Linked DNA regions of Neodiprion lecontei. The protein of the gene in region 2 binds, or shares a complex with, the protein of the main gene of each other region. Links are inferred from orthologs where the notes say so. Each region holds a gene or a part of one and is shown on either strand. Other genes may lie near its edges.

Region 1 (4,261 bases), about 14 Mb from region 2:
TGAGAGGGAAATTAATGCGTAAAACGGACGAATGTATAGAAAATTTGTTGTAAATAATTAATTAAAAAAGAGTGCAAAGAATTAATTTGTAAAAGTGAGCAGTACAAGAAAACATCATTCACTTTTCAAAAAGCACGGAAAACCTTACAATTAAAAATTTTCTAGATGCAGAGTTTTATTAAAAATTAACAAACGAATGATTGAAGGTATTCTGCAGAAAAAAATCCAAGGAAAATTTCTTCAAGTGGTACTTTCTTGATCCTGAAGCAGAGCCGTTGCTAATCTTTCCAAGTCGTCATAGCTCAAGCCGTCTACTTTCTTTTTTAAGTCTTTCATAAACTCATTAATTATCGACTGTGTTTCAGATTCTGTATAATAATGCCTCAAGACTCTTGACATCTCGCTTCTGAATAATTGGATGCCAGTATCACCTTGAGCACTCTTACCCTCACTTTGAATTTGCTTCTTTACAAATAAATTTAACTTGCAACCGTCTTTTATCGTTGGATAAAAACTCAGAAGCTGGTCGTCTGAAACGACGAAATTTTTTAGGATCAACTTTAAAGATATTTTGAACCAAATTTGAAGCAATTTCTCGTTTATTACTAGAAACCATTTAAATTTAATGATTTTTGAGCAATGATAATTGCAGATTATTCGTACCTGCAAGGGCCTTTCCTGTATGAATCAACTTCTGATGCGGTACAGCGATTCCTAATGATTCACTAACTTTATGTTTCAACTCGAGGACTGTGTTTGACGGCAATATCTGAAACGATGGATGGTGAATTAATGACAAATTAACGGAATTGTTGGAATGCTGGAAATAACAAAAAAAAAATGTGAATAATTCGGAGAATGTTTAATAATGAATACCTTCCGTACGTCTGATTGATAAAAAAAAATGCTCCAAAGAAAGAGAGCATTAGTCTTTACCAATGTTCTCGAAACTTTTGCGGGGTGGTTTGGAACGTTGGGTGATGAAATCTGACTACGAATTTGTGATTGAAATGTGGCAAGGAAAATACAAAAGGTGAATACTCATAAAAACATGTCAATATTGACGATTTGACAATATAAAGACAACTCGTACTCACGTCAACTACACACTCTCTTCCCTGTAGAATTTTCACAACGATTTTCATGTTTGAATTAATTTAACACAGAACGGCGGGGGTAGAACTGTGTCAACGTTGACTCATCTTAATTTAAATATCCAATACCTCGCAATAATTAAACGATTAAAGCAATCTGTCCTACACCTAGGTTGGATTCCAGGTTAGATTCGTTAACGCAATTTTTTCTACTACTGCTGCTGCTGCTGACGACAGGTGAAGGCACAAAGCAACCCTCAATTTTTGTCCAATATTATCGCCATGAAGTATACGACGACTCAAGAACGCATACTCGCATAGAAATGTGGTATATATTGATGTATTTCGTTTATTCTGATGTCGCTTCGATGTCAAGACTGGTCTGAACCTTGCCGTTGACTGAGGAATATTTCAGTGAACGACCTTGCTATCAATCGTGCAGAATATGGCCGCCGCCTGTAACTTGCGGCCACCTGTTACTCTAGCCGTGTTCTAGCACTACTTCGGCGGAAAATTTATTGATCGTATCGTTTTAATCGAAAAATAATGTCATGAAAATAATTAATCAGCTTATATACGAACCCAAAACATTATTATCCATGCATACCTGAAACATTTGACTATCTAGCTCTAGCTATAATCTTAAGGCGCTGCTCGTGGTAGAAAGAGAAATTACTTCAGGCGCCGAATTTTGACGAACAAAAGGCTAGTTTATTTTCTTCAGAATTTAGTCTAGCCGCCCTCACTCCTGCGCGCCAAAAACTTACACGCGGTAAACAACTAGAGAAAAAAAGCTATTCTCTTGTTTTGGTTTCTCAATATTTTCACTTCAACATTCTTTATAATAAACTGCTGAAAATCATGAGTGAAGACGAACAGAAATCAGAATTTGCAGTGGAACCAAACGAAGCTGAATCAATAAACGGTGTCGATCACATCACGTCCAGAGCCGATTTGACACCGTATTTTGTAAACAGTGATCATAGTGTGAATAAAATACACGTTTCAAAGGTATTCTTTCTTTTAGTTTCTACAGAAATCATTCTCGGTCTCACCGATAGACGATCAAACGTCGCGGCTTTGAGGTTATAATTACAAAGTGGATCACGTTCAACGGTTTTCCAAACAAGAAATTGCCTATATTTAAAATTGAATTAACGTATTGTCACACGTAATAATCACGATACTATTTACTTATTGCACATCATGATGCTAAATTTTAATTTTGAAATTCTCTATTCGTATGGGACTACAACATTATGAAAAATATACAATAAGAAATACAAGGTCTGTGAATCAAATAAAGTTGAGTTTCACTCCTTTCAGGTGCCGCAAATTTGTCGCACAGAACCATGTCAGCTGGGAGTAGACGAGGCGGGTCGAGGTCCGGTTCTGGGTCCGATGGTTTACGGAATTTCGTACGCTCCGTTGAGCGAAAAGCAACTGCTGGTGGACTTGGGCTGTGCGGATTCGAAGACCCTGACTGAGGATCAAAGGGACGCAATTTTCGACAAGATATGTGAAAATGACGATAAAATGGGCTGGGCAGTAGAAGTAATATCACCCAATGTCATAGCGAACAGCATGTACAGGCGTAGCAAAGTTACGCTTAACGAGGTATCGATGAACTCTGCAATCGGATTGATCAGGAGGGCGATAGAGGCGGGAGTCAATCTTGCCGAGGTCTACGTTGACACTGTTGGAAAACCTGAAAAATATCAAGCAAAACTGAAGGAGATATTTCCCGAACTTAAAATAACCGTTGCAAAAAAGGCTGACTCCACTTATCCTATCGTTAGTGCGGCTAGTATCTGTGCCAAAGTATCCAGGGACCATGCGCTGAGAGCGTGGCAATTTAGGGAGGGTGAAAACGAGAACGAGTATGGTAGTGGGTACCCAAATGATCCTGTAACAAAAAAATGGCTCACTCAGAACATCGATCAAGTTTTTGGCTTCCCGCAATTAGTCAGGTTCAGTTGGTCGACAGCTGAGAAAATTCTTGAGTCAAGCGCTCTACCTGTTGATTGGGAAGAGGTCAACGACGAAGAATCTCCCCCGAATAATCAAAAGATATCTAAATTCTTTAGCAAAGTTGATACGCACAATAAAGTTAACAGGAAGAAACACACGTTCTTTGCAGACAGGTGCTTGACCAACGCGACTAGCCTCTGATTGTTAATATTGATTTTATTATATCGAAAAGAGGAAAATTTTATTATCGCATTTAAGTTTTAAATTGCTGATACAATTTCTTGAAGTATAAAAACGAAATCAAGATATTTTAAGTCGCAAGTCATAATAAGCGAACAATTGCAGGCAGATTGAATATCTTGTTCTCTACCTCGATTTTTAATTTGTTTTTTAAATGATAGATGAGTTCTGGCAGTTTTATTTTTAATGGTCGATTTCACCTACCCAAGCCCCAGAACACTTTTTTTCTTAAACTTATTTATTGTTATTTTCAGCATTATAGATTTCAAATACTATGAAATTCGAAAGTATTGTCTCACTATATTGTACTGCCTTTGAATTACAGTTAGAAAAATAAAGCATTATTTCTGATATTACTTCGATCAGTGTTTGACTTTTGGAAAATTTTAATACATTAGTGTATCATGGAAGTCCTCTTCACTCCTTTCACATGTTATTTCCTTTCTAATCCATTTAAGTTTAAGTTGAACGAATACTCATTTCATTAATTCTACAGAAATTAGCCGTACACCAAATTGCTGTTGATTTATCGATTATTTTTGATATAACACTTTTATTACGGAATATTAAATTAATTCAAATAATTTTAATTATATACATATTTACATTACATATGTAAGGTTAAGTATAAGTAGATGAAAGCATAAAATACACGTTATTATACTATTACACGAATATTTGAAGAACAGTCAGGAATGTCTAGCGAGAAATGTGATCTCTTACAGCTAATATAGACACATGCTAAATTCACACGTTTTTTTTCGTTTTCTTCTTTAGAATATCAATGTAATACAATATTATTTGATGATTACTAAATACCGACTAGATTAGTAAAGGCTATACAGAAGTTATTAAAAATCAAAATATAATCTTTGAGAAGTATACAATAACCAATAAGCAAACTATCCTTGATGAATGACAAGTGATCGGGGACAACCGAAAAAAAGAAGTCATCG
Region 2 (7,572 bases):
TCTACTGTGGAATTGAGAAAAATGTGCTTAACGTGTCATAATGGAATTGTGACATTGGTCTACACTTTGAACCGCGGCATATTTAGAAACAATTATTTCAACCAATTGTGGCAGTCAAATTTGATAATTTAAGTATACAGCTAAAGTATTTACAGAGGTTCTTACAGTCAGGTCTCTTTTAGTGGGTAATTTATTATGGCGCAATATCTAAATTAAGCATTTCATGCCAACTGAATGAACGTCTAACCCTTATCATATTGACTTTTGAACACTACACATAATTTCACCATTTGACACTCTCAAAAAAAAAATGAAAAGATTTAATAGATAAAGATAAAAGGTACTCAACATCAGTGCAGAAGCCAGATTTCAATCAAGCTGGTTCGATGAAAAATTCAAGTAAATATGATGTAGCTCTTTCAATTTTCCTTGCAAATTATTATGAAACTACATAATTAACCTCAATTTTGGTTTGCAAGATTGAAGAAATTCAAAACTTTCTATGATCCAATGTTTTAACATAATCAAGAATCAGCATAATATGTACCGCAGAGGACTTATATTCAAGAGAAGTTTGAAATATCTATGTATTATAATTATCTAACCAAACTGCTTCAGAAGCAAGTCTCCTCACGAAACTACGTGCTGAAGATTGGGATTTCAGACGTTTTTCTAGTATATTTGTTCAGTAACCAATCCTGAAATTTTTTGCATACGAAGTTGAAAAGTTCAAGTGCAACTCATTCAATAATAACACAGATATCACGTCGTGAAAGAACTCCTTTCAAAATATTTTTTTCGTACTCGACAAATACTCATTACCACGAATAAATAATATTACTTTAGACATACTATTTTTCAACCCATGGTGGTGAAGGTCCTTTACGCTTATCCTTTGAACTCGAACTTGAAGTAGGCTTTCTGTCACTGGGGCCGAGTTTACCTCTTTTCAAAAAACCATGCATTGTGTTCAAAATTATATCGCTTGAACGTTGAATGATAGAAAACCGGCCAATGTATTAACTTCGCGCGTTCATACGTCAGTAAAAAAATTCACGGCATGCGCAAGATACGTTTTCCTATATTCATGATACTCGTGAGCATAGACTACAGGAATAACTAAAAACTGCCATAAGCAAAGGGATATCAAAGGGATATTACAAATAGAGACGCCAAGATGCGGCGATCAGCACAAGTAGAAAGTCGTGCTTGAGTCCCTATACAACAGGTCGTGCGAAGAGAAATAGTGAAAATCGATCAATTTTTATTTGCATACACACAAAACTGCTGACATTAATGTTACAATTTTTCATTAATAATTTTCCTCAATTTTATATATTGTTGTCAAATTTGGCTATTAACCCTAGAGGGATAAGATAATTTTTTTTTATGTACCTCGTTAAGTAAAAAAATGTCCCAATCTTGTAAATTCCATCTTTCTGGTACAACATATCGTTAAGGGTCCTATAAGGTCTCATTTTTTACAATTTTTAATAAAGAATCACGTAGGCCAAAAAAATTTTCGCTCAAGTTCCAAAAAAGTCCTCAAAATTGGTAACCGAAACACGAAAACGTTAGCCGTTCTTTTGCGGTGAGAAATTTACATTTGCGCGACGTGCCCCCCCCCCTCCCCCCCCCCCCGCCCCCGTTTCCGGTAAAGCAAATACTAGAGAGTTTAATTTTCCAACAAACAACATGCAATACATAACTAAATTAAGCAAATATGATAGGACGACTGAGTCATGAGATTCAATCAATCCAGCACTGGATGGCCTCTCGCATTTTCATATTTTCGGTACTAGAGGGCATTGCATGTGGTGTTCCGTCGAGTTATAGGAGATATTTTGTATGTTATGTTATGTTTTATACCTTGGCTGCACTTAGCAGTGAAAATGGTATTGCCGAACCTGCGGACAGGCCGACGGCCGGGTACTGGGTAGTTGTTAAAAATGGCCGACTTCTGAACTTTATTCCTGTATGTCTCCCCCATTACATTAAATAAAAATCAGCATTAATTATCAATTTTGTCAATTGACAACGTTGAGTAACATGCCGCGTGTCAAAGCCTCGCCGAAAAAATGCGTCAAAACGTCCAATACGCACCCGGCAGCCAACACTTGGGTGTTCCTTATGAAAGGTAAATAAAAAAAAAAGAGAATAAATAAATCAAACAACTGGCCAACTGTAGGGTAAAAATTAGCTGCAATCAATTTTTTCACCCGTTTCTTTTCCCAACACCATTATTCTCATGAATTTTTAGTCCTATGCTATTTCTTTTTATACCTGGATCAATACTATCATCGATCAAAGAACGATGCTGGTTGTTATTCTTTATGTAATTACAAAAGACTGCTACTGTCCTTCCACAATTGTTTGACCAGCATCAATTTACTGAACTTACACAAATTCCCTCCAGGAAAAATCTGAAATTACTTATTTTTTCAAATGTAAATGCCCTGTCGTCTAGTTTGTTATGTTTTGAAATGCAAATGAAAGTTCATAATTCGGCTAGAAAACTGGGGCATTGTATGAATTCGGTACCTACTAAAAAATTGTATGCATGAACATTTTACATTTTCCCAATTCATTTTGTTGTGTCACTCTATTTCATTGATTTGTTTTTTCAGGTGATGGCTTAGAGAATACCGACGGTAGTTCTCCGGATGTAGTTAAACTCAGACACCCAGCCTCCAACCAACCGGCTATGTTTGTATTCAGCCCAGGTGATACCACCGTTCAAGAAGTTTTAACCTTTGACGAGAATAAAAGATCATGGTTCATAGACGACAATGTCAAGTCAGATGGAAAGATGCATTTGTCGACGCCAATTGATCCAATATTCTTGGTTTTACCATATCTAAGGAAGGTAAGTGTTCATGCCAATCATTATTTCATAATTCAAGACTAAACTATGTGATTAATAGGAATAGGTGGAACCTTACGATGAAACTTCACATCACAAATTGATGTACAATTTATATTTCATTTCAGTCACAACAAGTAATGCCTCTTGACCAAATTCTTCGTGATGAAGATTACCCAGGAACATCCCGCCTTGCACGATGTCAAAATCTAAAACTATCTTTGATCGCAGATCGTAAGGGGGACGAGGAACTGCAAGCTTTCAAGTTTAACGAAGACAAAGCAATGGTCTGGCTTCAAAAAAAAGTTGGGCGAGTCGCAGAAATACTTAGGCAGAAAGGTGTACACGTATCCCAAGGAGCTGTTAGTGCTACCTATGTTAAAAGCAACAAACACGAATCTGGCACAGAAGTTGGTGAGAATCTGGATAGGAATTCTCATTTTCTATTGATCAAATTATGGACTCGACATGCAATAACACATTTATATCCCGTGATATATAAATGTTTGATTTTACTAACTTAATCAATAATAACAGTCTCAATTTCTTTCAGAATATCTTAAGTATGCACATGGCATCGTTTCGGAATACCTTGCTGAAGACTTGTCTAAAAAACTAGCCCAACACTTAAGTCTGCCCGATGATCCAGAAAATAAAAAACGAAAGTCAAACAGTCCAAAGGAAAGTAGCGACGATAAGAAAGCTAAAAAAGACACACCAGAGTCAGAGTCTATCCCAAGAAATGGAGCACTAGACTTAACAAAACCTGAAAAGGTATGTACGTATGCTAAATTATAGAAAATTTGAAAATCTCGGGGATTTGTTTTCATATGACAACTTTTTAATAGATCTCACAGAATTAGGTGAAAAATTCATTGTGCAAGCTTTCTAGACACTTTGTTCTTTGCATATAAAAATTTTATATGCATTTAAAACAGAGAAACCTTTTTTCCATTAAACGAAAATTGAAGCCAATACAACCAATTCAAAACTACAACGATGTGACGTCACCCGTGCTAAGGTAAATTTATATATTACAGAATCAGTGAAACTCAATTGCTTGTAACATCTGCAATCATCTTTTTTGACAAAAAACAAAAAATTCCACCATATTGTTTTACATTTCTCTGCTTTATATTCATCTAAAAAATGTATTTTCTTTTTTTCCATGCAAAGACCTAATTTTGTACGGCTTTCTAATGATATATCGGTTCATAGTTTATGATGTGACAAGCATGATGAACATTGCTGTCCCAGATTGAATATAAAATAAGTTTTCAATAAACCCAGAAAAAGTGACTTTTATAAGTGAAAATCATTCCTTGTTTGACAATTATTCTGAAGTATAAAGAACTGATTACAAACCCTGACAACATTTAGTTTTTGTAACCTCTCATGCAAAATTTATTTTGTAACTTAAAGACATAAGTGAGCGAACTTAGATTGTAGGGCTGCGGATCAGGTGGCAAATATCTTCGGATACACTAGCTGTGTAAAAAGTATCATGACATGATCATCAAGCAGTCGTTTGTATCATTAACGAAATTTATTTATTGATTTCTTAGACTCTAAACAGAGTTAACAATATCTATTTATGCATTGGAAAGGTTGCTTTAATTCAGGAAATTCTAACCAATTTGTTGAAACAGTATGAAAACTAGTTTTGTTCTCATTAGCTGGCTTGTTGGAAGACTTGCATCTGAGAACTCATAACTCGTCAAATCTTGTCTTCATTATGTTTCACTGAGGCGACTTGTTTCTTCAGGGGAGGGCATTATCTCACTCAACAATCGATGTTCATAATAAAACAGATTTCAATAACTTTCAGTATTTATCAAAGATATACATCTTGTATGACAGTAAAAAATTACATTTTCGTAATGAACCTTGAATGAAGAGCAGGAATATTCCAATCCTAAACCATATAAAATTATTTCATAACTGTCTTTATTTTGATAATCATAGCAAATGTTTTTCCTGTTTTCCCTGTACTCTGAATATACATATACTCGTTATAACAAAAAATATACATTTTATACCAGCAATTTAAAGTCAACTTTTCCTTCATTGAAATGCATTGCCAATTGAAATATTATACTTCCACATTAGTAAGCTCAATGGATAATAAATTGTGAACACTTACTGGTCAAATGCTTGATGAATTTCTAAAACAAACGTAGGCCTTAGCACTTGTGAAATAGGAATCAAACAAATGACTCGATCGGGTAGTCTTATATTAATTTTGGTTATGAAATATAGTTTCGCTATAAATTTACATGAAATGAGCTCACAGTGACAGTGAATTAAAATGTATCAGTTACCAGAGCTAAGTGTCAGATTATTTTAAAAATATCTTTTCAAATATTGTAGCCCCAAAAACCTCTGACCATTTCGAAGAAAGAGATGTCCAGACAGAAGGCAGCAGCTGGTTCAAAGAATATTTCGAGTTTTTTTAAGAAGAAATGAGCGGTGACCAAGTCAACGAAACAATCAATCGCCAGTTGGTTTTCCAAATTTATAAGAGATCTTCAAAATATTCTGAGAAGTCTCTGCGTTCCTATTGGTGTTAAACTTTAGATTTGAATTGGTAAAAATATCTGAAGGAAATTTGAAGGTTAAGCAATGTTCAATTATCTACTTACATTGTTGGAAAAATAGCCCAGAAAACCCCGCAATTGTTAATCTAGAATGGTAATCAATCATCACAATGGATTCATAATATATAATTTGATCTCACCTGTCAAACGTAATTCAAAATCTGCGTCAGTTAACTGTTGCTCAAAATATTTCAACGAAAATTAGTCATTTATTCCATTAAATGCATAAGTAAGATTTATTTTATATTAACACATTTCACGATTATCGAATTATATTTTATTATTACTCTTACATAGAGTTTGATTCCTTCGATTTTCTTTTCCTGATACAAAAGTATTCAACATTTGGGATGAATTTCGAATTAATTAAAAAGAAAAGATTCAAGACTTAGGGTGTTGATCTGCGAAGATTAATACATCAAGTGAAAAGTAAACACTCGACGTTTTTTGAAGACATTTATCCTGTACTGTTGCAATGTTTAACTTAGAATACGTTAGATATAAAATTCTAGTATTACGCATTTTACGCAATAAGGAGCTAACAAACGAATCCTACAATTGAAACTTGTGTAATACTTAAAATAGAAAAAGAAAAAAAGCGAGTGTTTTTTTGTCTCATATATTTTGTAATATTATAGCCTTTTCATTATTGGTTGGTTAGCTCCTTTTTGCTTCCTATAATATCCTTTATTTTAAAAGACTGTCCGAAAAAGCAATAATTTTTTTCGTAACCAATATTTAAAATTGTCAGAAAATTTCTTCCTCACTAATTGTAATTTTTCAAAGCCAAAGTTGCAAAAGTCATATTAGGGTAATATTGAAATGTTATAATAATCTAGAATATAGCATATTTTACGATTATCATGCAGTTCTATTGAAAAACTCGCAGCTATGTTACACGCAGGAAATCCAAATCAAGAATCGACTTTTGCTACTTTAAATTGAAGTCATTCATCTGGATATCTGAACTGTGTTATATCCAGTATTTATTGCATATTTTTATGATTTCTATTTGTGAATTCGTATCTAGAGTCATGCACTTCATTTTTATTTTCTCAAATACTTGAAAACAGCTACCTTCAATGCTAATTGTCATTTACTGTGGATTTGCATCCTATTAACAATGACATGTGTTTGAGTTCCACCTGATGCATGAAGGATATTAATGTAAATATATGATTGTTTTTAAATTATGTAAACGATATCTGATGGTTACTGTAATTTGAAACAGAAAACCGCTGACACTGAGGTACAGCATATTTGATATCTGTATATGTGGAGTCACATAAATTATCCCATGTGTTTAGTTTGAACAGTATACGAATATTTTGTACTTTATTTTATATATTGCGTCGAATCGACTTTCCCGTTTTGTCATTTTAATGAAAACTACAATTTTATATTTGTCGTACTTAATTAGTGATGAATATTATTGATGATTAGTTGGAGGTGTCGATTGTGATAGCTCTATGAAAAGTTTCGAATTAGAAGTATGTATGAGTCGAAAAGAGTGTATGAGGATAAGTGATAAGTATTTGTTTTTGTCCTGGCTGTACGATGAAATATTATGTCAATATTGTAGATGTAATATAATAATATACATTCAGAAACAGCTATGCTGTATCCCTATCTCTGTCCATGAAAAGCTCATTTACTTTCAAGAAGAACACGTCAAACATATAAAATATGGTTGAAATTATGACTGAATATCTTGTAATCTGACTAAAAAACACATAAAGAAACTTCAGTGACTTGACTCAAATTAATCGATACATTCTTGATCAACATGCACGGTTTTTATTTCATGTTAGATATTTTATTAAATATTTATTTAAATTAATCGACACATTCTTGATCAAGATACACGGTTTTTATTTTATGTTAGACATTTTATTAAATATTTACATGTTACAAACAATGAATTACAGGCGTAATTACTTTAATATCATCTCATCTTGAGCCAATTCCGAGAATAGCCTCTCATGTAATCGACATAGGTTCACTCTTCGGCTCTGTAGCTTCAATATCCCTGCATTTGGCATGTTGCAGTTCTCTCCGTACTTCACCAGTAATCGAGTGATGTGATTGTTTCTTCAATAATTCCAGCAGAGC

The links. Proteins that work in one complex are often made in the same cells at the same time.
Region 1: the proteins of ribonuclease H2 subunit B (region 2) and ribonuclease H2 subunit A are in contact, whole or in part, in a crystal structure (PDB 3PUF), measured with the Homo sapiens proteins. The link is inferred for Neodiprion lecontei from reciprocal best matches to the Homo sapiens genes RNASEH2B and RNASEH2A. Residues at the interface, in NP_078846.2 of Homo sapiens: His16, Phe18, Lys39, Asn42, Gly48, Ala49, Ile50, Val63, Lys64, Val65, Phe66, Lys67, His70, Phe74, Val79, His86, Phe87, Val183, Tyr211, Gly214, Leu215, Asp218, Tyr219; in NP_006388.2 of Homo sapiens: Val227, Phe228, Ile253, Trp254, Glu255, Ser284, His285, Tyr287, Phe288, Arg291, Gly292, Leu293, Glu294, Ser295, Ala296, Thr297, Ser298, Leu299.

Annotation. Positions count from the first base shown.
Region 1 is NC_060263.1:39,232,498-39,236,758, reverse strand, and holds ribonuclease H2 subunit A, read left to right. Parts: upstream 1-1,533; 5' UTR 1,534-1,955; coding exon 1,956-2,105; intron 2,106-2,420; coding exon 2,421-3,266; 3' UTR 3,267-3,661; downstream 3,662-4,261. Other genes in the region: ubiquitin-like protein 4A, read right to left, coding at 241-530, 664-769, 1,098-1,145. UniProt on the Homo sapiens protein: Catalytic subunit of RNase HII, an endonuclease that specifically degrades the RNA of RNA:DNA hybrids. Participates in DNA replication, possibly by mediating the removal of lagging-strand Okazaki fragment RNA primers during DNA replication.
Region 2 is NC_060263.1:25,725,120-25,732,691, forward strand, and holds ribonuclease H2 subunit B, read left to right. Parts: upstream 1-1,872; 5' UTR 1,873-2,049; coding exon 2,050-2,137; intron 2,138-2,627; coding exon 2,628-2,866; intron 2,867-2,991; coding exon 2,992-3,277; intron 3,278-3,416; coding exon 3,417-3,637; intron 3,638-3,711; coding exon of another isoform or gene 3,712-3,726; exon of another isoform or gene 3,727-3,801; coding exon 3,802-3,884; intron 3,885-5,233; coding exon 5,234-5,249; coding exon of another isoform or gene 5,250-5,329; 3' UTR 5,330-7,072; downstream 7,073-7,572. Other genes in the region: replication factor C subunit 4, read right to left, coding at 1-4, 853-965; bystin, read right to left, coding at 7,441-7,572. UniProt on the Homo sapiens protein: Non catalytic subunit of RNase H2, an endonuclease that specifically degrades the RNA of RNA:DNA hybrids. Participates in DNA replication, possibly by mediating the removal of lagging-strand Okazaki fragment RNA primers during DNA replication.